Linked DNA regions of Mus musculus: regions 1, 3, 4, 5, 6 and 7 are each reported to be linked to region 2. Evidence: microRNA targets listed by miRTarBase, many of them from high-throughput screens and not tested one by one. Region 2 holds a microRNA gene; each other region holds the end of a gene's coding sequence.
Evidence for each region. Region 2 holds the annotated microRNA mmu-miR-9-5p (UCUUUGGUUAUCUAGCUGUAUGA, at 2,076-2,098, opposite strand). A microRNA usually pairs through its seed, bases 2 to 8, with sites in the 3' UTR of a target mRNA and lowers its output. Matches are read on the target gene's strand: a 7mer-m8 pairs with bases 2 to 8, a 7mer-A1 pairs with bases 2 to 7 and ends in A, and an 8mer does both.

Region 1 (3,095 bases), not on the chromosome of region 2:
CTAACCCTTAATTTTAACCCTTAAGATAGGAAAAGAACTCAGGGTAGGGTTGGGAAGATGAAATATGTGGGTAAAAGGCTCGGTATCGCAAACCTGTTTGATACCCAGAACCCACAAAAAGAAATGCAGATAACCAACTCCACAAAGTTGTCCTCTGATCTATGCATGAGTGTCGTGACATGTACTCATCACTACCCACTACCACACTTATATGCACTAATAATTTTTTAAAAGATTAATTTAATGTGTATGAGTACACCGTTGCTGTCTTCAGACACACCAGAAGAGGGCATCGGATCCCATTACAGATGGTTGTGAGCAATTGTGTGGCTGCTGTGAACTGAACTAACCCTAACTCTAGAAGAGCAGCCAGTGCTCTTATACCACTGAGCCATCTCTCTAGTCCAATAATAAGTTTTAACACATGACCTTTGAGTTTAACTTTTCCCAGCTGTAAGTCTATAACTCACAAAGATAGTTTCTTTGTTGACAGTCAAAACTTAAACCTTAACTCCCTTGTAACGTGATATATTAAGAACTGTTTGAATCCTTGTTATCTACAGAATCACTCTGTGATCTGAAAATAGGGGTGGGGGTGGAGTATTACTGAACAATCCTCTTAAAAGGCCACCCAAATCATAAACATGGCTATTTTTAGGATACTTGACCCAATTATTGTGAAATTCTTTTCTGAGGCCTAATCCTGTTGTGGGAAATATTAAAAAGAACGGCAAGTTCCCGAAAGGGGTGTTCTTATCTCAGCAGACTCCACCTGACTCGCCAAGTTCTCTTGGGGGGTTGTTGCCACACCAGCCCATGCAATGACCACCTACCTCCAGTTAGCTGTCACAATTCCTAGTAACACAGTAAAATCAAAACTCTAGAAGCTTATAATTAGTCAGATTTATATATCAATAAATTCTCAATTCACAAGATACCCACACAATAATTTCAGAGTCAATCGATGATACAAGCTGCCCACCTAGATTAGACAAGTTATCCCAATTATTCTATCCCTATACTACAGCTACCTGTGGCTATTTAAAGCCACGCAGAATCTGAATTGTCCTGTTTGTCCTCCATTTTCTTCCTCCTCTTCTCCTCTGTGGCTCCCTATCTCTACAACTCTGTCCAATCACAGGCTTCTTATTGTATTAATAATTAAATTAATTGGACAGGGAAAATCCTGCTACATAATCAAAATACCAGCTTTGCTGAGAAAAGTTTACTGAACGAACTGAGATTGACGCAGGCAGAAGCATGGGGCTTTATCTTCCCTTCCTATACTGTACCATCTTCTACTCCCACCAGCAAGGTGAGAATGTCCTAACCCTCACCAACAGTAAACATCCTCATTCTTCCACACACCTCTGCCATCCAGTACAAGAACTGAGGCCAGAGCTTGGCATATACAAGTGCTTTAATACTCAATACACCTCATTCAAAGAAGACTTCGTGGCTCTACTTTGTAACGGAGTTATTTAAAGGAGATAAGCAACAAAGTTCCAAAGGCTTGAAAGCAACCAGAGATCAAAAATTTCAAAGTCAGCTTTGGTTTATGAATTATTCATCTATATCACTATTTAAGGATTTTGAAAACATCAGATACTCATGGGAGGAATCTGTTATTTTAGATTTCCTTACTAGCTACATTTCTTATCATGTGTAGAACTGTCCAGTTACACAGAACAGACCAGGACTTCCCACATACAAATATGTCCACCTTACAGAGCAATACCATTAGTGGTTTCAACAAATATGCAACTTTTCTGTTACTCTTGTTTGTTAGAGGAATTCGTGCTTGTGAGCTCTCTGAGATACTCTCAGACACTCTCATCTGAAGTTGGTCCATATATAAGCTCATTCTTCACATAGCCTTAATATGTAACTTTTCTAAATTTATTGAGGTTAAAATAGATTTTTGGATGGGGTTCAAATGGGGCACAAGCTCTACTGTAGACCTTTCTCCAAATCAGGTAATAGAAAATGGTTTTGGTTACTTTTTAAAATTCCTATCAAAATCATCCAGAAAGTCCAACTCACAGAATAGTTTTGTTTAGTTATTAATCATACAAGATGAATCGAGTAATTCCAGACTTTTAAAGTGATTTTTCAGTATCTTTATAAGTATTTTTCATAATTTCTCTAGAAAGAAAAAAAGGGCTAGAGATATAGCTCAGTTGGTAGAATGCTTATCTAGCATGCATGAGGCTTAGAGTTTAATCCCCAGAACTGCATAAAATGAAAATAGTTCACATGCCTATAACCCTAACACTTTTCCAACAAGAGGCAAAAAGATTAGAAGGTTCAAGGTTATCATTGGTGGTCATGGCACACACTTTTAACCCCAGCACTCTGGAGGCAGAGGAAGGTGGATCACTGAGTTCAAGGTTGACTTGTCTACATAACAAGGACAGCAAGGACTACACAGAGAAAACCTGTCTTGAAAAACTAAATAATAATAATAATTTTTATTTTTACTGACTATAAACCAAGTTCCTAGTTTGAATGGTAAGGAACAGGACCTGAACCCAAGTGAGCATCCTTATGTGTATCTCCCAAGGACCTGACGGCCCCTATACATCAAGGACTTTATCTGTTAACTTGCAGATGAGTTATATTTCACCCTGATCCTTCACCACAGAAAAGTCAGCTTACTATCATATAGCAAAGACCTTCAGTACACACAAAATTCATGCTTGCAGCTGGGCAAGTCCTGCCCTTAATCCCTCCAGCGATGTCCACACTGAGCATTGCAGCACTTATAGAAGGTGGTCATTGGCTCGTCTGCAGAACGCGTCTGAAGCTGCATGAAGTAGGCACGGGGATGTTCGCATTTTGGACATGGCTCTGACAAACAGAAAAGCAAGTTATCCACATTACAAAAACATTAAGTGTGGGTAAACATCTCATCTCCATGCTCAGCTAGACTCCCTTATGGTCTCCCTTACTCCAGCTAATGGTGAGTTTGCCAATAGCAACATCCTTCCCACAGCACATCAATAATAAGGAGACTAGAGAGACCTTGTTTTATAAAAGCAACAAAAGCCTTGAAATTTGAAAATGAGTAGATGTTTAAAGGTTTTTTTTTTGAA
Region 2 (3,095 bases):
TCCTTTTCCTAAAGCCTTCTACTCTCTTTTGAAGAGCCTGTGATCCAATGTGCTCATGGGAAACAATAATATAAAACTACTGTGGTTAGCAACTGAGACTCTAAGTGTTCCTGGGAATATGTGGTGTGTGTGTGTGTGTGTGTGTGTGTGTGTGTGTGTGTGTGTGTGTGTGTTTAGGGGGACTCTAGGATGCCCAAGAACTTGCTGTGTAGACAAGGATGACTTTGAATTCTTGATCCTTCGTCCTCTACTTTGCAACTGCTCAGATTATAGGCCTGTGCTATGATAGAGGGCTGTGTAGCCCTGGCTGTCCTGGAATTTACAGTGAAGACACTATACAGGAAACATTAAAGATGGTAATGATAAGGAAGCTTATTTTATTGATGCCCCTCCTCTGCCCATGCAAATTCCCAATAACAGAGAGGCTTCCCTTCTTTCTACTTTCCCAGTTGGCTCCCTTGGGGTGGGGAGTGTCACTTTCTCCAAGACAGAGTAAATGGAAGGAGCTTTGAGTGTCAAGCCAGTGAGTAATGTCAGCTGCTCACTTGTGCCTGTGTAACATGGGATCACATGGCATCTCTCAAGCAGCGGAAAAAGAAAACAGGCTGTGGCCAGACCATTAGTTCCAGCCTAGACCCAGCCTCTTTTCTCCTTGACTTAAGCTTCATCCCCACCACCCCTACCAAAACAAAACAAATTCCAAGCTTCTGGAATTTAAGAGGCCACTCGACTCTCCCTCCCCTAACTGCTAAAGAAGACACACACAGGCAATAGATTCCCTGAAGTCCCAGAATTTGAATTTGGATTCTCTAATATTTCCCCCCATGTAATACAAAATTGAATCATTATCTTCTAACTGTAAAATCAGGTCCCGGGAGGAAATTTTAAATTTATAAGAACCAGCGGAGTCTGGGTGATGACATTTTGCCCAGTTTTCTGCCTCTTATTAGTCGGTACAGCCCAGGTCTCCAAGTGCCAGCTGGTCAAGTTCGGCTGAGGGCCATGAGAGCAGAGGGGATTCCTAGCTCTGGCCATGTTTGTTAGACCATCTTCTCAGCTGTAGAAACCCTCTTTCACTAAAATATTTAGGTCAGGCAAGATAAATAGATTCTTTTTACAGGAGCCCAAATTAATCTCTCTAATTCTTTGCGTTCTCTGGGCAGCACAGCTACACATTCCTTTGTGTTTGAGCTCCACAGAGCTCCTTGAGGCCATTTGTTCCTTTGGGACACGATTTCCAAGAGTGAGGTTAGGACCGAAAGGTGGGATGCTCTAAAGCCCCCCACCCCAACTCTACACCTTTAGCCACTAATGACAAAGCAGCCAGAGAGAGTTCAGTTAGACTTAGCTCTGGTCCTGAAGGCCAAAGTGAAAGCAAAGAACCTGCGCCCCAGGGTCCCAGAATTCCTGTGGGGTAAAAAGGTCTCTGGCCACTCTGGCCCTTGCCCTTGTGGTTACTTTGTTTCTGCATCGCCATTCTCCCTAATAAGTTCGATGTGTGTGTTGGTTTTTAAGCCTTCCCCGCTCCTAGACCTGTTCCCACCTGGGCAATCTTGACTCCCAGTAAAGCTGAAGGGCTTCAGGGAAACCACCAAAGCAAAAACCAGCTTTCTAGAGACATCCTACGAACCTCGAACTCCACCAGTCGCTTCGAAGAGCCAGAGGGAAGCTGCTCACACCAGCCACCCGCTCCCGGGATGCGTCGAGACCGGGAGAGGGATGCTTGCACTTTCCCCCCAACCCTTCAGCCAAGGGCTCTGTCTCTCCCGGGAGCGGCTTCTCCGGACTGAGGCCCAGACTGCTCCATTTTGACCAGGCCTCCAGAGGCGACCCCAGAGCGGCTTCTTGCTTTCTTCCCAGGTGAGCAGGTTGCGGGTGGGGATCGCGAGGTGGCTCGGGCTGAGCAACCTTTGAAGGCGACGAGTCCCCCTCCCCCCAGCCCTCCAGCCTCCAGGCACGCCTGGCACGGCTCTCCCTCCTGCAGCTCGGCCACTACCAGCGTTCCAGGCCCTCTGCGCAGTGTATGGGGTTATTTTTACTTTCGGTTATCTAGCTTTATGAAGACTCCACACCACTCATACAGCTAGATAACCAAAGATAACAACCAACCCCGCCTCCTGGCCGCCTCCTCCTCTTCCACGCAGCCTCCCGGCCACCGCCTGGACCTCCGTAGTCTCGAGTCGCTCGACGGCGGATGGGGGACGCGCGTGGTGTGGAGGCGAAAAGATGGGATCCAGGACCTCACGCACTATCACGACGAGACCTCAGAAAGGCGAGGAAAAGATGCTACCGCCGACGGTTCTGAGGTCGGGAATCTAGGCTGAAACCAAGCGGCCCCAAGCCTGACCGCCCATTTCCCACTCCCTCCTCCGTGCAGAAGCAGGGTTCCGCCGGTGCTAGTGGAAAGGCTCCAGGGCCTTCGTGCCATCCGGGAAGACCGCAGAAGCCTAGGCCGAGGCCTCCCCAACCTCCCACGGTGTCCACACCCTTCTCTGGAAGGTCGAGTGTGAGCTCCGCGGGGTGCGGCAGAGCCGAGCTCGCAGAGCTGCTCCGAGCTACCGACTGCAGGGGAGCGGCCGCGAAGCCCCGGACGGGAACCCCAGCACTGGGGAACCCCGAGGCCCAGAGGGAAGCCTGTGGCTGGCGGCGGGGTGGAGGGTGATCTAGAGACTCCCCAGCGACTCTCCCAAGGGCAAAGACCCCACCCAGAGAGAATCGGGCGAGCAGTCAGGACGTGGGGCTGCGGGTTAGGGCAAAGGGTGACCAGGCAGGTGCTCCGAGCCCTGGACCTACGGAACCGCGCGGGAGCCGGTTTTGTGCAAAACGCAGCCGAAATCATTCAGAGATGTGAAATATGCCACTGGGGGTCTGAGTGAGAGATGCCCTTAGTGGCTGGAGGGGGCTATCTGGACTGAACCCACTGGAAGGAGGTCCAGGGACCGTGCAGAGGGTGTAGAGCTCCGTGGTCGCAGGTGGCGGACGCGCGCGCTGGACTCTGAGGCGCTTTCCCCACCTCGTGCCCCACGCGGGTCAGGCCACTTACATCAAACCCAGGATGCCCAGTGGTAGTGTCCTGCGCGGTCTTCAGGCGCGTT
Region 3 (3,095 bases), not on the chromosome of region 2:
TTCCCATTCATAGCACTTGTTTCAAGTGTAATTTTTAATCTGCATAAGTTCATTTCTTCACTTTGCGAAGGGAGCCCGCGTCCATCATGACACAACCTTGTCATGAGAACAGAATGTCTTTGAAAGCTGAGACCGAAAGCCATGCAGTTTCTCTATTTGGATGACAATATATTAACTCATAGCACCACCTACCTTTCAAAGTAGGGAAACAAGGCTTCTTTTCCAGAACTTATGTTTTGCTTAAACAATTACTGGTAAAGGTAGGTTCAGAGTGCAAATAAGTAAAAAACAAAAGAAAAAGAAAAAGTTCCATTCGATATTATGTGAACACTCTTAACAGTATTTATAAATTACTTGGCAATGTTTCATTCAAGTCTGGTCAGCAGCACCCAGACATTTTTAATGTGACAGAAAATAGTGGACAAACTCATTTTTAGCTACTAAGTAGGAAGTGTAGTTAAAGAAACCAGCCCATTCTGACTAACAGAGGTAACTGTTCATTAATACTTCCATGACTAATGGTTAAACACTAAGATGAATGATGCTTTTCCCTCATAATTCATGCTTAGGTTGTTTTCCTTGTCTCAGTATATTTGCCTGTTATAAACAGAGTGTGGTGGTGGACAGTCTTGCTGATGCACACATGGCTCACACCATGTATCCACACTCCTTCAAATCAAGATCATTCCTTGACCTCATGCTGCAATAGGATTATTTCCATAAATGACAATTTGCTTACAGGAATCTAATTGCTAGAGATGCTAGAGGAATTATTTTTGATCAAACGGGGAAAGCTTCTACACTGCTTATTAACTATCACAGAAACCATGAGAGGGAGGCAACTAGGTTTGTGTTGCCCACGAACTGAAATAAATGGCTTCAGATAAACAGTGCCTCTGTCCAAGCTGGATGGGGACCAACCTCCTTTGTAGCTACAGGAAATGGAGGCATTATTGCTAGTGATACCGGCCCACAGAAGACAGAGCGCAAGCAAAGAGCTACTTATGGCTGTCTCATGTTCAAGTCCTCAGATGTCAAAATTAGAAAAGGGGGCTGAGGAGAGGGTTCAGTGGGTAAAAGCACTCGTCATGCAAACCTAACACCCTGAAAGACAGACACCATGACCCTACCTGTTCTTACAGGCAGATGGAGGCAGAGACAAGACAATTACCAGGAGCTAGCCTGGTGTACACAGCAGTGAGCAAGAGATCATACATCAAACAAGGTGGAAAGCAAGAATCCAAGGTTGTTTTCTGCCTTACACACCTGGGAACATGTGTCTATATCCACATCCACACAACACACACTCACACAGTATTAAAAACATTTCAGCCACACTGAACTTGAAAGTAGTGCAAGTGTAAAAGCTATTTTGAAAACGGTGCTTGGTAATAATTTTAAGTTAATCTGACAAAAGTTTGAAGAGTCCATTTTAAAATGGCTTGTTAAAACCGAATAACTGAATTAAATATTTTTCTTAACAAGAGATATACTGGGGCACTAATTATTTCTGAAGGCTCCTTTGTTAGGGCTATAGTTCATCATGTCATACTCAATACAACTTGTACCATGGAGTCTTTTTTCTGGTGATTTATGTCAACTGACACTAAGGAGAAACTTTCTGCAACTGGTGAATTAAATTACCATTCATTACCATCTCATTTAAATATCGTTATCTTGCCAGAGCTGCCAACAGAAAGAAGCAGTTCTAATGTTACTGATAATGAGGGACAATTTGGCTCAGCTGATGGAGTAGATGAGCACTACTTCCCATCTGTTCTCCTTCCTAGGTCTCCTCTCTTGTGAAACAGGATCTCACTCTGTAGCTCTGGCTAGTCTTGAACTCATGGGAACCCTGCCTTAGTCTTCCAAGTACTAAGATTATAGGCGCAAACCACCATGGTGAGCTTGTTTGCCACTCTTCTATTTTGCATGTCATATCAAAGTAGACTAGAATTTTTTTATTTTCTTACATTTGACTGTACAATACAAACTTGATTACAATGCTTCAGCAAACAATACTGTATTTAAAACAATACAAATTTACAATGTATGCTAAGAGAATTTATTTCATTAGATTCCAACTGAGCATGAAAGCTCGCTGCTCAATTTGAGATCAACTGCAGCTTTTCCAGTAAAACACTCTCCCTGCCTCTGTGAGACAGGGCCTCACCGCGTAGCCCAGCTAGCCTCAAAGCGGGCCTCCTTTCTCAATCTCTCTCAAAGGCTGAGGTTATAGGTACAAACCCAGCTGCTCCCCCAACTTTATAAGGTCAGGTCTCTGAACAAACGACTCTTTAGTTTTTCTTCCTCTGTCTTCATTCCTATTGTATCCTTAGAGCTTCACAGTGTCAAAGTTAAAAGACTGGAAATATATCTAGCTAAGACACCTGGCTTTATATACACAAAAGTTTAATAATGTTGTCACAACCCCTAATAAAATGTACTTATATACTAATCCAGAGCAAACTAACTGTACATATTAAATTGTTCAAGTATATCAAGAGCTTATAAAAAATGAGAGGCCCCAATATAGACAGACATCTCTTTGAAGCCCAGTTATAACGTCAATATGATTAAGGGACAGTTCTATATATTTTTTTAATTTTACAATATCATACATTCACAATTATTCCAAAATTTCAAATGAACCAAACATAGGATGTAGTTTACATTAGTTTAATGCCTTCTGTACAGCACCAGAGGTTAAAAGTGGATCTGACCAACCAAATGTTCTTTATTAGTCCGTTTGTCATCACACATTTCTACAGTACATGTACAGGGGAGAGGAAGACAGCTCAGGTCAAAGCTTTCGCCTTAAATAAATACGCACTTCATCTACTCCATACTGAACACCCAATCAAGCGCCTGGTCTCTGAAGGCTACCCAAGTCGCATGGGATTCTCTAGGTTTGCTTTGAAAGTTTCAAGAAACCTGGTAGCTAGTTCATCATCAACCACTCGGCTGTCACTTGACATTGTGACCGTTATAAGCTGGTGCTGCTGCAGTTGAGGGTTCCCCTCTTCATCCTCCGTCAGCTTCAGCACGGGGCGGAATCTCCCAACGGCCAAGATACAGGCCTGAGGCGGGTTAAT
Region 4 (3,095 bases), not on the chromosome of region 2:
TCTCTTGCTCTTCACAGAAAAATGTGCAGACCTACTGCCTACAACGAGAAGTTACTCTAACAGTCTGCAGATGAGGGAAGAGCATGGGATGCCAGGAAGGAAAGGAGGATGCAGGAGCGTGCTCAGAGGTGAACCCTCTAGCAGGGGTGCAGGGGAGGAGCTAGGGTTGTTGGAAGACACTGAGATTTATGCTCTGGGGTCCTCTGCCATGGGAGGTGATAGCAATTCTTGGTTGCCAGCTTGACCACATGCAGAACTGACTACAACTCAAACTGACTACGCCAGTGCTGGATTTTGTTCCTTAATCATCTGAAGTGGGAAGACCCACTTGAGATCTGGATCTCTGAGGTAGAAACCCACCTTTAATCCAGGCCCTACCTGCTGCTGGCAGCCTCTCTCTAAACAGGACAGAGAAGAAGGAAGCCCTCTTCTCTTTGCCTGCTTGTTCTCACTCTTGCTAGTGAGTCCACTCAAGCAAATCCTTCGCTGGCATTCGACGCGACTGCTCTGGAACCCGTGTTTCCTGAAGAGCAGCTGAGACATTTAGCCTCGTGGACTAAACAGCTACTGGATCCTTGGATCCTCTGTCTGTAGATAGCCTTGTTGGACTAGCTGGACCACAACCTGTAAGCCATTCTAATAAATCCTCCCCCCACCCCCACACTCATTCTATGAGTTCTGTTTCTCTAGAGAGCCCCCAACTGATACAACCACTTTCCACGCTACATTACTCATGTCCACTCCCTAAGCTCCTACAAGGTGACAGAGTTGACCATCCTGCAGTCTTTCAGAACTGTCAGCACATCAAACAACAGAAGACACAGCACGGGTAATCAAAAAGGTTTTAATGATTAATGTTTAGACATTATTTAACAGTGTGGGTATATCCAGATGAGCTAAGCACACTTTGACAGCACACTATCAAATGTTATAATTTTTGTATTGAGATATGTAAAGACACCTGCAGACGGGTACCTAGGGAGAAGACACACACATACACACATTCTAGATCTGACAAGGGAAATGTAAACAGATGCCGCAACTCCTTCCAAACAGAAAACCCACAAGGCTAATTAGGACCAACTGGCTCCTTGTAATATGAATGTGCAAAATTAAAGCATGGTAAACTGGTATTTACATAAATATCAAACCCACAATTAGTTTATACATTGTCAATCATCTCCTAAGATGTGCCATGAGTGGTTCCATGGATTTTTTACCAATGCAGAAGGTATTCAAAGGCTAAGCTTTCAACACTTTAAAAATGACACACATGAAAAGAGTCCCCATTTGTATGACCGATGCCTCGAGCGCACTAGACACGATTTTAGGATAAGCAGTCCAAGCACTTTAAACCGATCTTTAGGTGCTAATCAGAAAAAAATTACAGATGCCACCATGATTCACACTGAAAAAAGCGGTTGCTCCCAAACACCCAGTTCCTGCGCGCTCCAGCTCTTAAATTTTACCTCAAAATGCTTATGGTGCTTCCTGGTCTCTTGGTAAATTAGGCACATTTTAAAAGGAAGTGTATGTCAAAGTAGCACTACAGAAAAGAATAAAAAAAAATGTGGACCCAGGTAACCAGTCCCTTATCACTGTGTGTGTGTGTGTGTGTGTCTGTCAGATAATAAATGTCTCGTCACCTTTCCTGAAAGGTAGTTCTCTCTCTCCAAGTGGTGGGAAGTCGAATGGCCTTTTTATCTCCTGTATAAAAACACTAAGCACTTCAGAAGTGAAAAGTGACCTACTCTTATAGTCACCCTAGCCTCTGGGGGACCAGGGACAGGTACGTAAGTGTCTCCAGACGCTTTGGACCCTTTCCCCACCTCTTTAAACACATTAATAGTGGCACTCAAAATAAAAAAATAAGATCTGTTAAAAAGTTAAACTGACTGTTCCACTAGACTTGAACCTGCTTATTTAAAGCCATCGTTATAAAACCAAGGGTGCCATCAGATTTCGCATCTCCAAGTCACTTGAAGTTACACATCACACACTTGTTTCATAAATCATACATTTGATTTTTCTAAACAGAGCTAATACAAATGAATAATACAAAGTTGAAACATACCCTAATTAAACTAACAAGCTCTGGGCCCTGCTTTTTTAAGTCTTAAGGCATGTGTGTTTTTCTACTGTTAACAACATTGTACAAATTTACAATCACATGCATGGTCTACAGTTAAAAAAAAAAAGTTTGGATTACAGTGTTTTAAATTGTGAACCACAATTCAGCACCTATCGTGTTACAACTAATAAGGCAACAGCAGTGTTGTATACTACAAGAACATTCCCTTTCCACAGTCTAGCGCGGGGGTCGATGAGAGCCCAGAAATGTGAGAAAATCGTATGCCTACTTTGTATAATCTGTATACATATTCTAGGGGTTTTGAACTGATGAAGAAGGTCCTACATGAGTCACACTGCAGATAGTAGGGCCAGACTAGTGACAGCAGCTGCTATGAGCGTCAGGGCACAAGTCACGCTGTGCTTACAATCACACGCCGCGGTCTGGAGGCTTCGGCTCGGCTTGTCAATCCTTTCGCTGCTTCCTGGGCTTCACGCTGTTTTCCAGGGAAGGGAAGCTGTTGGTGTGTCCGTTGACGGCGGCCACAGACCCGTTCTGGTGGCCCTTCAGGTGGTCTTTCCTCCGAGAGGCCCCTTTCTTGTTGTAAGTCTGAAATGTACAAGGCGAATCAGTGCCTGCTAACCAGATGAACTGTACCGGTCTGTATCTCACTAGGCCTGGTTTCCTGGTCTGATCAGTCTCACCACGTATTTCCTGTGCTCAAATAACCACTTTATGTTCAATCACCCTTGCGACTTTTTGAGGCTTAGCTCAGAGGTTCTGACCCCCTAGACCACAACAGAAACACTTAGAACACCGAGTTTCTGTTCATTCGGCTTTGCCTCTTCAGGATGTGGATGGTGGAGCAATGGCCTAGGGGACCAAACTGGCTTCTCCTCCTGGCTAGTAGCCACTCTACATCACAAGCCATTACTTATCTTTATGTTTTTCTTATTGCCTCAGTAACCATCATGTACAGTACAATGGGCACCAGGAGCAATTGGAAGAAGGTCCTATTATCAGG
Region 5 (3,095 bases), not on the chromosome of region 2:
ATACTGTGATGAGAAGGACTCTTTGGAAAGAATCCCCAAGTCCGTTATACATCAGTCCTGGTGCTCCTGGAGAGGTTCAAAAAAATGAATAAAGGAATATAGGAGACATCTGTTTTATACTCAGTGCCTTATATTCTTTACTACAAATTTTAATTACATCATATGGCCACATGATGGCAACATGTTAACATATTTCCAGGCCATGACTATAACCGTGTCCGGGTTTTGCCTGTAAACTACGAGTTGACTGGACTTTATCTTTCCCTCTACTCTTTGGTTCTTGAATTATAAGAAATTCAGAATATATCAGAATTTCTGTCAGTTTTATATTAGAGAGTTGTGATGTCACTAAGGGATAGGAATTTTTCAACTTCTCTCAGTTACTTGGGACCATTGTCCTATATGTAGTCAGTAACTCTCAAAATGTCATGTGCTATATAAGGAATATTTTAAAAGTATGTATAATATTCAATCTCAACAGAAGGGTTTTCTCCAATCATATCCATTAGTGTGTTGGATTTAATTAGTCCTCAATATTTATTCTATGTGCTGAAATGGAAGTTCAGTAAACACTTGAACCAGGTAACTATATTTGTCAAGGAAAAAGACCAGTACTGTATGGTTAAAAAAATCTTTAATATACATGCAACAAATATAGTACATCGAGGCAACAAAATACAGATGGAAAGATAGACATAGCCAGCATTCTTTGTGGAGTTCTGAAAAATAAACAGTACCACTGAAAATTAAAGACTGAGACACTGTTCACTCATGCAAGCGTTACAAACTGCCTGTAGCTCGAAACCAACTGCAGAAACTTGGGTTCCACAGTAGCAGATGAACTTTATATCAAGAGCTCCAATAATGGAGGGAAAGCCATGATCCTCAGGTGTCATGTCTCAGTCCGCAGTTCGCAGCAGGGATATGTCACAAACTAGTGCTTCTATCGGACAGATCTGAAAAAGTGTACCAACTGGGGAATCTTGTATTCCCTTCTACTTTATAAAAATGTATGAAAAGATCTTACCAAGGTTTTATATCTGAAAAATCATAAATGACAGGTGAGAGCAGGCCGTGGTGATAAAGCAGTAAACACTTTGACTTTCTTAGGAAAGTAGAGGTGCGCCCACGGCCAGCCTAAATTCCCAATGTTCTCATGACCATCTAAGTCCTCATGCAGCCTGCTGCAGGCCTGCTGTCTTTATTTGCTATTCCTGACACTACTTAAACGTGGCTTTGGCCACTGTACACTTAATATGGTGCACACAGATCAGAGAAGATGGAGGTGCTCTGTTTTAATGCATCAGCCTCAGGAAGAAATTGCTCAGTTTGTTCTGAGTCACCCGATGCAATGTCTGTCATGAGCTTGCAGGCCTCCTTTGCCCCAGAGATTAGTGTCTGCACTGCCTCACATGTGACACTGGTCATGTTACTATTGATTGATTCCACACCATGAGACTGCGCTCCAAGCACTTCCCAGAACCTCCCACCCCTACACTTTGGATAGAAGGAGTGAACCTGTGAGTTCAGCACTCCCCAGGAAGCTTTAGGAGGGATGCACTTCCTACTTGTCACAGCTGCTAAGTTTAAATATAAAAATCAACAGACAAGAGTGAGCACTGTGGCCCCTTCATGAAACAGTATAGGAAATGTCTTTGGCACACTTGTTTTCCTCCTAGGACTCACTATAGAATACACACTTCATACGTGTTTATTTTCAATAGGGTGGAATTTTTAGGGACACATGTAGCTGTTTTAAAAATTGTAAAAAAAAAAATTGAAACACAGCTCTTTTTAAAAAACCTGTTTTCCTACAGAAGTATAGTTTTGTTTTTTTTTAAACACTAAGATCAATTTGAAAAATGAGAAATCATGGCATAGTGGTAATGGCTATGAAACACCCAGTATGTAAGTCATTGTTGCACACAGGGAAAATAGCATTGTAGCTCCAATGTATATCCACAGTCAGACATCCTGGTTACTCTGCAGCTCTTTAAAAATCATTATCAAGTCATTCATTAAACTGGAAACTTCTGAGGTTAGTAACCCCTTGCCAACATTAGTTCTGAAGTTTGAAATGTTTCCAATGTCTTAGGCATACCTGGGAAAAGATGCTTTTCCTCCATACCTGACAAATTAAGTCAGCAACCGCCTAAAAAGGCACAATTCTACAAACTTTATGAAATGCTAAAAGTTGGTACCAACTGGTAAAAGGAAAGCTTAACGAGCCACTGTGTAGTTGTGGCTGGAGACTTCCCCTTACAGCATGGTACACAGACATCAGAGTGCAGGAAGTACTTCATGGAATTAGTTGCCTTTTGTGCAAATTTAACCACCAAATAAAGGAGCGAAAGAAACTGCTAAGCTTAAGTCTCTGGAGTAAAACCTGGACCTGGTCTCTGGACACCAAGACGCATTTAAACAAATATAAAAATTCAGCTGAATAACAACTATGTACAATTTATAATGAATTCAGACACTCTTTGAAAGATTTTTAAAGCCTAATCAACTTTAAACATCCTCAGTGACAAATGTAATATTTTAAAAAGAAAAATAGGGGACTACTATGCTTTTCCCTCAGAAATTTACATGGGCTGGACTAAAATCTCCAAACAACAAAATGTTACGCATGTACCAGAATATAAAATTTCAAAATCTCCCAGCAGCCAAACTTATGTAAACAGGATATTTACAATGCAGAAACTTTGGGTTTTTACGTAGTCTTTCAGGATGGAGTCAGGCCTGGGCTGGTTAGCTCCGTGGTGGGGCTTGCAAGGCAGTCGTTGGATTTTAGGCTTGTTAGGGACTTGTAACTTGCCACTGATGTCAGGGACCCACAGAGGCCAAGAAGTGAGGGGGTATCTTCTTTACCTGGACATTAAGACACAAGCACACAAGAGTAACAGTTTCATGAATCACTGCAAGACCAAAACCCAGGAGAAACTCCCAGAGCTTCTGGAGTAGTGACAATGTATCGATGCCGCTAAACCTATTTTACCCGGCAGCAGCTTCTAATACCTCCTCTAAGAATATTAGTGTTTTTATGTTTCTCGTAAAACATCTTGGTATGGTAGTTTGAGATAACGCATTTTGGA
Region 6 (3,000 bases), not on the chromosome of region 2:
ATCCTCACTGTGTGCTTATGTAACCTAGGGTATCTCAGTTTCCCTTCTGCTGTCATATAGAAACCCAACGCTATTGCGAAGAGTTCCTGAGCAGTCTACACAACTCATGCATGTACCTATAGAGTGAGACAGGAGGCAAGTGAGACTGTCAGCATCTTCCCCAGTCGGGTCCTTCTTCCCTCCCGCCAGGTGAAGACTAAGGATGAATCGCGAAGTGTGGGCCGCATCAGCAAGCAGTGGGGAGGGCTGCTCCGAGAAGCCCTCACAGATGCCGATGACTTTGGCCTCCAATTCCCAGTCGATCTAGATGTGAAAGTGAAGGCCGTACTGCTGGGAGCCACGTTCCTCATCGTGAGTTAGCTTCCCCTGCCCTTCCCTTCCTGTTATTAGACGCTCTGTTCAGTTCCCTGGACCCTTACTAGGTCAGGGACACGTATGGTGGGTTGCAGGTTCAGAGCTAAGTTAAGAGCTGATCGACACAGACCCAGCCAGATCTCCCATTGACGGTGACCTTTCCTTAGGATTATATGTTCTTCGAGAAGAGAGGAGGCGCAGGACCCTCTGCCATCACCAGTTAGAAGCCACCTCAGGATGAGGAGACCCATCTCCTTGACCAGAATTTAAGATGGTCAGCTGCCCTGGACGTTCCCTCCTGAAGCAACCCTTTCCTTGATATACACTGCGGCGGACCGACGAGGGTGGCCGAGTGGTTGGGAGCCGTTGTGTCCCATCCCTTCCCTGCTTCTCCTGTGGCCCTGCAGAAGAGCATGTATGAGACCTGTTCCTCCTTCTGTTCACCATCTCCAGGCAGTGCCTGTGCACACATTAGCTTTTAAACTTCCTTGCACACTCCTTCCAGCCTTCCTCTGGGGCCTCTGCATAGGCAGGGGCATCTGGAATCCTGGACTCAAGTTTTACCCCAGGGCTTGTGGGTAAAAGGCAAGCAGTACCAAAGATGGCAGACACCACCCTTCCCTTATGGCACTTTAGCCAATTAGTTTAGCTTCCGATTGTGGCACTCTGAGGGGATCCTTGCCTCCTCACTAATAGCTGTAGCGGTTGGGCCCCAGTGCCAACTCCCTAAGCCCCTGGGCCCTGCGGGTGCTTTCTGCAGCTTCCTGTGCCTTATTTAACCGTTAACCCCTTCCTTCCCCTACTGTAGGAAGGAGGCTGTGTCTTTGTATGTTGTACTCATATAAACTTTGAAACTTTTTAAACAGTAGAAGCCGGATGTGATGGGAGAGGGTAGATACCGGATAACACAAAGGGAGCGGCGTCAGCCAGCCTGTATAATCTACACTATTTGGATTAAAGGAAAAAAGTCCTTGAGTCCAAAAAGTTAGTTTTCATCACCCATAGTGATTCTGGACCAAACCAGAGCAGCTCCCAAGTCAATATCTAAGTTGGGTGCCCCATAGAGTTTAGGGAAGTAGCTAATGACAGTTCCGACGGTTGGTCAGTGATCCGGTATTGCTACTTGATCCTTGTCTGTAGTGAGTAGAGGCCTCCTCCAAAGCTTTTTCTTTCAAGTCCTGTTCAATTGGGAATATAGTAGGCAGAGTGGACTTGGTCTTGGTCCCTTCAGAGGCCAAGGAGCAGGGCTCGGAGGAAGCATTAGCCAGTACCTGAGTGCCCTATACACTTCCTGTCACTCCTCACAGCAGGTAAATCTCCCTCAGCGTGCCTCCGTCAAGACCTCATGTTCTGATTAGTCCGTAAGGCCAAGCCCTAAGTGGACCAGGTAACCCATGCTGGTGTCCATCCCTGAGGATACAGAGTTCAGGACCGGGCTAGGATGTAGCGACTGGCTGCTGACAGGTCCCACTGGTGATGCTCCAGGATGCGACGACAGTCTGCTCGGGACCGGTTACTAAGGTGGAAGAGCTGGTCTACCTGTGTGAGCAGGAGGTAGGACAGCTGACCACTAGTGGGCCAAACAGGCGACTGGGGAACCTGCAGAAGGGGTTAGCGTTACCTTGAGGTTCCGGATAGCAGAAGCCACATCTCCCCCAGTGGTTCTGAGTGCCACTTGGCACTCCTGGTAGGTGACACCATGCACACTCAGCTCTACCTGCGGAGGACAAATCTTTGTTTAGCCCTTGTGTCAACCTACAGGCCCTTTGAACATAAAGTCATTTCAGTGAGCCCTCACCTCTACAACCTTCCTCTGCCACTCGGGGTCTGACAAGGGACCTCCAGAGGGGACAGTGGCTTTGCTGGCTCCAGGTGCTCCAGTGCGGTGATTATGTGAGGATTCTCTTTTGGGCCGGGCTTTGTGGGGCTGGGTGGGCTGAGAAGAGTTGCAGATAATAGGTGGGCGTGGAGGCAGGTCTGGTGGGCGTGGAGGTAGGTCTGGGAGTCTTTGCGGCATAGCTCTTGTACGCCGAAGTTCTGGAGGACTTGAACCACCTCCTGTGGGTCTAGGGCCCAGGGACAGAACTGATTCCAGACTCTTGGAAATGCCTTCAGAGTTGAGAAAGAAATGCTATAGGAGGAGGCCCACCTCCCTGCTCTCTTGACTATCTGCACTGAGCTGTGTGATTTTGCAAGGATATTTAGGTAAGCTGGTTGGCCTTGTCCTCAGCTGTCTGTGTGTTAGATGGTATGCAAACAGAATCAAGACAGCTAGAGGCTCAAAGAGCAGTGTGAGAGCCAAAGCCAGGAGCTGCTGCCCAGTGGAGAATCAGGAGCACCTCTAATCTTAAATCTCAAAGTGCGCCAGGAGGAGATAGCGCACGCCTTTAATCCCATCACTTGGGCAGGCAGAGACAGGCAGATCTCTGAGTTCAAGTCCACCCTGGACTACAAGAATGAGTTTAGGACAGCCAGGGCTACACAGAAAAACTATGTCTCAAAAAGCCAAAACAAATAATCTGTCCAAAGATTACCATCTTTGGAGGAAGGAAATCATATACACAAAGGTACGGATTCAGAGTTGGGAAGGGGAATTGGAAAGTTGTTCCTGAGACCCTGGGTACCACCACACCCACCTCGCATCCT
Region 7 (3,095 bases), not on the chromosome of region 2:
TTAACAATAAGAGGACTGGCTGGCTCAGCCATAGCCTTATACATCATACCTCATGTTGGGAACCTCCAAGACCCTCTCCTTAAAAAATTCTGTTAGTTGTTGATCAGGGTTACCCTGTACTGGGCTATACAGAGTATTAATGCTACTTCTCTTATCCAACTGTTACAATTTCTGTTAATACAATCACAGGGGAAATATTTATCTCATAAGGACATGAATCTAGAATGTTGCTTTAAGGCAACCAAATCCACCTGCTGATTTCTCCAGGCTTCTGGCAGTGTGTGTACTTCATTTCCCTCTGCTGCTTCTTTACAAGGGAGAAAAATGAGTGGCTTCTTCTGTAACGCCCACCACTCCCCCATCTCAGACCATCTGAGGGCAAACGCTTGGTAACTTTTAAAACACACACACACACACACACACACACACACACACTCTAATGCCTGCTCAGGAAACCTACTCCTGATCTCTTAAATTACTGAAATGCTTAAATGCTACACAAAACAAAGATCTACTACTGCTTGATTTATTTTTCTAAGAAACAGTTGTAAACAAATGTGAAATAATGATATTAGTGGTTACTAATTTCTGTGGAGCTTTAAAACTCAGAAGGAAATTTAGTACGTATTAACCACACCGGGGAGGCCTTAGGTTATCTGGCCTGAGCAAACACTTAATCCATTAAATAAAGTGAGAAAGCCCCAGAGCTGCTCAGACAGAACGAGAGGGCCACCTGCCCTGCTCACATGGTTCTTCCTATCAATACACAAAATATACATTTTTCTTTTCTCTCTCTCTTCCCCAACCAAGTTTGCCTTCATCCTCCTGACCCTGTGCCCAAACCATAGACTGCTGCCCTGTCTGTGGTATTTCTAAAGCCGCAGCAGCTGCAGATTTTAGACACTGACAATGACGAGATGCACAGCAAAGTTAGAAAAACAGTCTTACGGACCAGGAGTGACCTGCCAAGCCTCAAAATGCATAGATGGCTTTCTAGAGGATCACTGCCACAGAGCTTTCTGTAGGATGCCCCACAAGCCCCTGAACCATTCTCTAATAGCACTGTCCCCCACTGTGTGCAGTAGATAGAGAACATAAAATGCTTTCTGGTCTTAGGCTCGAGGCCACCAGCTGATGGAACTCACTACAAGGCAAAGCTCACCTACCAGCTCACAGCAGGGCCAGTCACCACAGAGCAGTGAACTGTTACCCACAAATTAAGCCTCTTGGGAAGAGTCTCACACCAAGAGCGAGTGGCTATGAAGACCACACTGTTACCTACCTCAGTCACAGAAAGCTTTTAATTCAAGTCAGTAGGCAGGCTAAACGGAACACCCTGTTTTGGTCTGGAAACGTAGTGGTGACATAAGCTACAGGACTAATCTAACGCTCTTGCAGAGGACTCTGAGGAGCTCGCCAGTAGAAGTAACATTTAAAGCAACATTTAAGCTGGGCCTGAAGACAAATATTATTAGCAGCAACTCCACCTACCCATTCAGAACATCTTGGCCACTTAGAATAGTTTGGGAAGAACTAACTATAAAAGGTATCATTGTTCTTCAATAGATAGAGGGGGCAAAAAAAAAAAGTGAAATGTGAGATTATAAACTCATCTAAGATATACAAGGAAACACCACTGTAAATAAGTATTTATTCAGCAAGTTTTCTTTAGTGGACTCTTGATTCCTTTTTAAATCTTTCTTAGCTACATGAAACTCTCAACAGAACCTCAAAGGGCAAGGGTTGGCTGTGACAGATTTTCACTTGGAGGAGATCCTAGAAGGGAATTCTGAATGCTTTGGCAATCTCTAAGTCCAAGCTGGTACAAGAAAAGTAAATTTTTGGAATGAAATGATGAAGAAGGGTCTCAGAAAACAGATAGAGGATGGTGGTGGTGTGGCACATGTCTCCCTCTGTGTTCCTGGGCTGTGATGTTACACACAGAGGTTTTCTGCTGCTTTCTGCTGACAAGTGTCTCCCTTGAGAGAATGACATGTCAGGAGATTACACTTGTGTACAGAATCTAACAAAGATGGTCTGCCTATTTTGGGGAAGAGAAGGAAGAGTCCAGAGACTATAGAAACACAAGCAAGGGAGACAGCCAGCTACCCCTCTCCTTTTCTCACTTAACACAAAGAAGATGTGATGAAAGAATGGACAGTTCTATAGACTCAAGACAGGTGACCTGAAGAGATTGGGCCACCATCCTCACTAGCCTCTAAGGCAACAAAGCCCAATCTTTGCTAAAAGCAGAAATGGTGAGAGACACACTTGACTGAAGACACATTCCAGGCATTGAACACGAGAGGTGAATACAGCCCCCTGGTGGACACGAAACCAGGCTGGTTGGCTCAACTACCTGGTTTTTTGACAGGTGAGAAAACTATTCCAATGTCCACATTTATGAATAGCTAGTACAACTTTTCAAAACTAGGTGTTATTTTTAACATCCTTGACTCAGAAGGCTCCTTGAGGCCCTCCCCTGCTGGTACCATCCCATTCATTGAAGAGATTCGGAAAGAGAGCCCTGGAAAACAAGCAAAACAACAAAGCTAGGAGAGCCAGAAGGAGAAACACATACACCATAGGAACCACACAGGACACAGGGGGGTGGGGGGGAGGGTAGGAGAGAAACGGAACAGGAAACTTACACAGCAAACTATCTGTCAAAGGGTCCAGATGGCTACTGTGTTCTGAAGCCATCAAGACAGAACAGCAGGGTGGGAAGAATGTAGTCACACACAATCCACCAGATGGCAACACTACACAGTGCAGAGGTCAGCACAGCTAGGGGACATCTGGAGAGGGTGGAAGGGAAAGAACAGATGTTCACATTGGGAAGCCAAAATAAATCATATAATAAAATACATAGAGCCACCTGTGGATTTAAGACACCCTAAAAGGCCCAGAGCAGCGACTGTGATGGCAAAGGGGCAGGAAACAAGGGTGGTGGTGGTCCAGCTTCTGTTGAGACAAAAACGCTGACTTTAGTTTAAACAGGTTCAACACACAGGAACAAATGGTTAGACTCCATCTCCCATCATACTGACTGACAGTACTCCAGCTGGCCATCCTTAGATATGCAAAACACTACA

Region 1: miRTarBase lists Polr3k as a target of mmu-miR-9-5p. Seed matches in the 3' UTR shown: 7mer-m8 at 1,550-1,556.
Region 3: miRTarBase lists Pdhx as a target of mmu-miR-9-5p. The part of its 3' UTR that is shown has no 7-base or 8-base seed match.
Region 4: the mRNA of Elovl5 is a reported target of mmu-miR-9-5p. The part of its 3' UTR that is shown has no 7-base or 8-base seed match.
Region 5: the mRNA of Rundc3b is a reported target of mmu-miR-9-5p. Seed matches in the 3' UTR shown: 7mer-A1 at 1,653-1,659.
Region 6: miRTarBase lists Plscr3 as a target of mmu-miR-9-5p. Seed matches in the 3' UTR shown: 8mer at 949-956.
Region 7: miRTarBase lists Cdc14b as a target of mmu-miR-9-5p. The part of its 3' UTR that is shown has no 7-base or 8-base seed match.

What each region holds. Positions count from the first base shown.
Region 1 is chr2:181,867,959-181,871,053 of GRCm38, reverse strand. Polr3k (polymerase (RNA) III (DNA directed) polypeptide K) reads right to left here. Exons shown (of 3, transcript NM_025901.3): 3 at 224-2,850. The coding sequence ends at 2,723. Among named protein-coding and RNA genes, the nearest start is that of Polr3k, 5.1 kb to the right of the region's middle.
Region 2 is chr3:88,214,616-88,217,710 of GRCm38, reverse strand. It overlaps Mir9-1 (microRNA 9-1), which reads right to left and starts at 2,113; the gene lies at 2,025-2,113. The region is part of intron 2 of Gm3764 (predicted gene 3764); the gene reads right to left. It overlaps Mir3093 (microRNA 3093), which reads right to left and starts at 2,540; the gene lies at 2,454-2,540. It overlaps Gm25641 (predicted gene, 25641), which reads left to right and starts at 2,041; the gene lies at 2,041-2,098.
Region 3 is chr2:103,019,129-103,022,223 of GRCm38, forward strand. Pdhx (pyruvate dehydrogenase complex, component X) reads right to left here. Exons shown (of 11, transcript NM_175094.5): 11 at 1,927-3,095. The coding sequence ends at 2,883. Among named protein-coding and RNA genes, the nearest start is that of Pdhx, 53 kb to the right of the region's middle.
Region 4 is chr9:77,982,250-77,985,344 of GRCm38, reverse strand. It overlaps Elovl5 (ELOVL family member 5, elongation of long chain fatty acids (yeast)), which reads right to left. Exons shown (of 8, transcript NM_134255.3): 8 at 826-2,680. The coding sequence ends at 2,537. Among named protein-coding and RNA genes, the nearest start is that of Gm34829, 4.0 kb to the left of the region's middle.
Region 5 is chr5:8,489,719-8,492,813 of GRCm38, forward strand. It overlaps Rundc3b (RUN domain containing 3B), which reads right to left. Exons shown (of 11, transcript NM_001347311.1): 11 at 618-2,871. The coding sequence ends at 2,726. Among named protein-coding and RNA genes, the nearest start is that of Slc25a40, 68 kb to the left of the region's middle.
Region 6 is chr11:69,849,823-69,852,822 of GRCm38, forward strand. Plscr3 (phospholipid scramblase 3) reads left to right here. Exons shown (of 8, transcript NM_023564.4): 7 at 190-351; 8 at 522-2,236. The coding sequence ends at 578. It overlaps Tnk1 (tyrosine kinase, non-receptor, 1), which reads right to left. Exons shown (of 14, transcript NM_031880.3): 11 at 2,991-3,000; 12 at 2,153-2,463; 13 at 1,976-2,071; 14 at 741-1,893. The coding sequence ends at 1,780. Among named protein-coding and RNA genes, the nearest start is that of Plscr3, 4.7 kb to the left of the region's middle.
Region 7 is chr13:64,202,620-64,205,714 of GRCm38, forward strand. It overlaps Cdc14b (CDC14 cell division cycle 14B), which reads right to left. Exons shown (of 14, transcript NM_172587.3): 13 at 2,652-2,798. The coding sequence ends at 2,684. Among named protein-coding and RNA genes, the nearest start is that of Habp4, 42 kb to the left of the region's middle.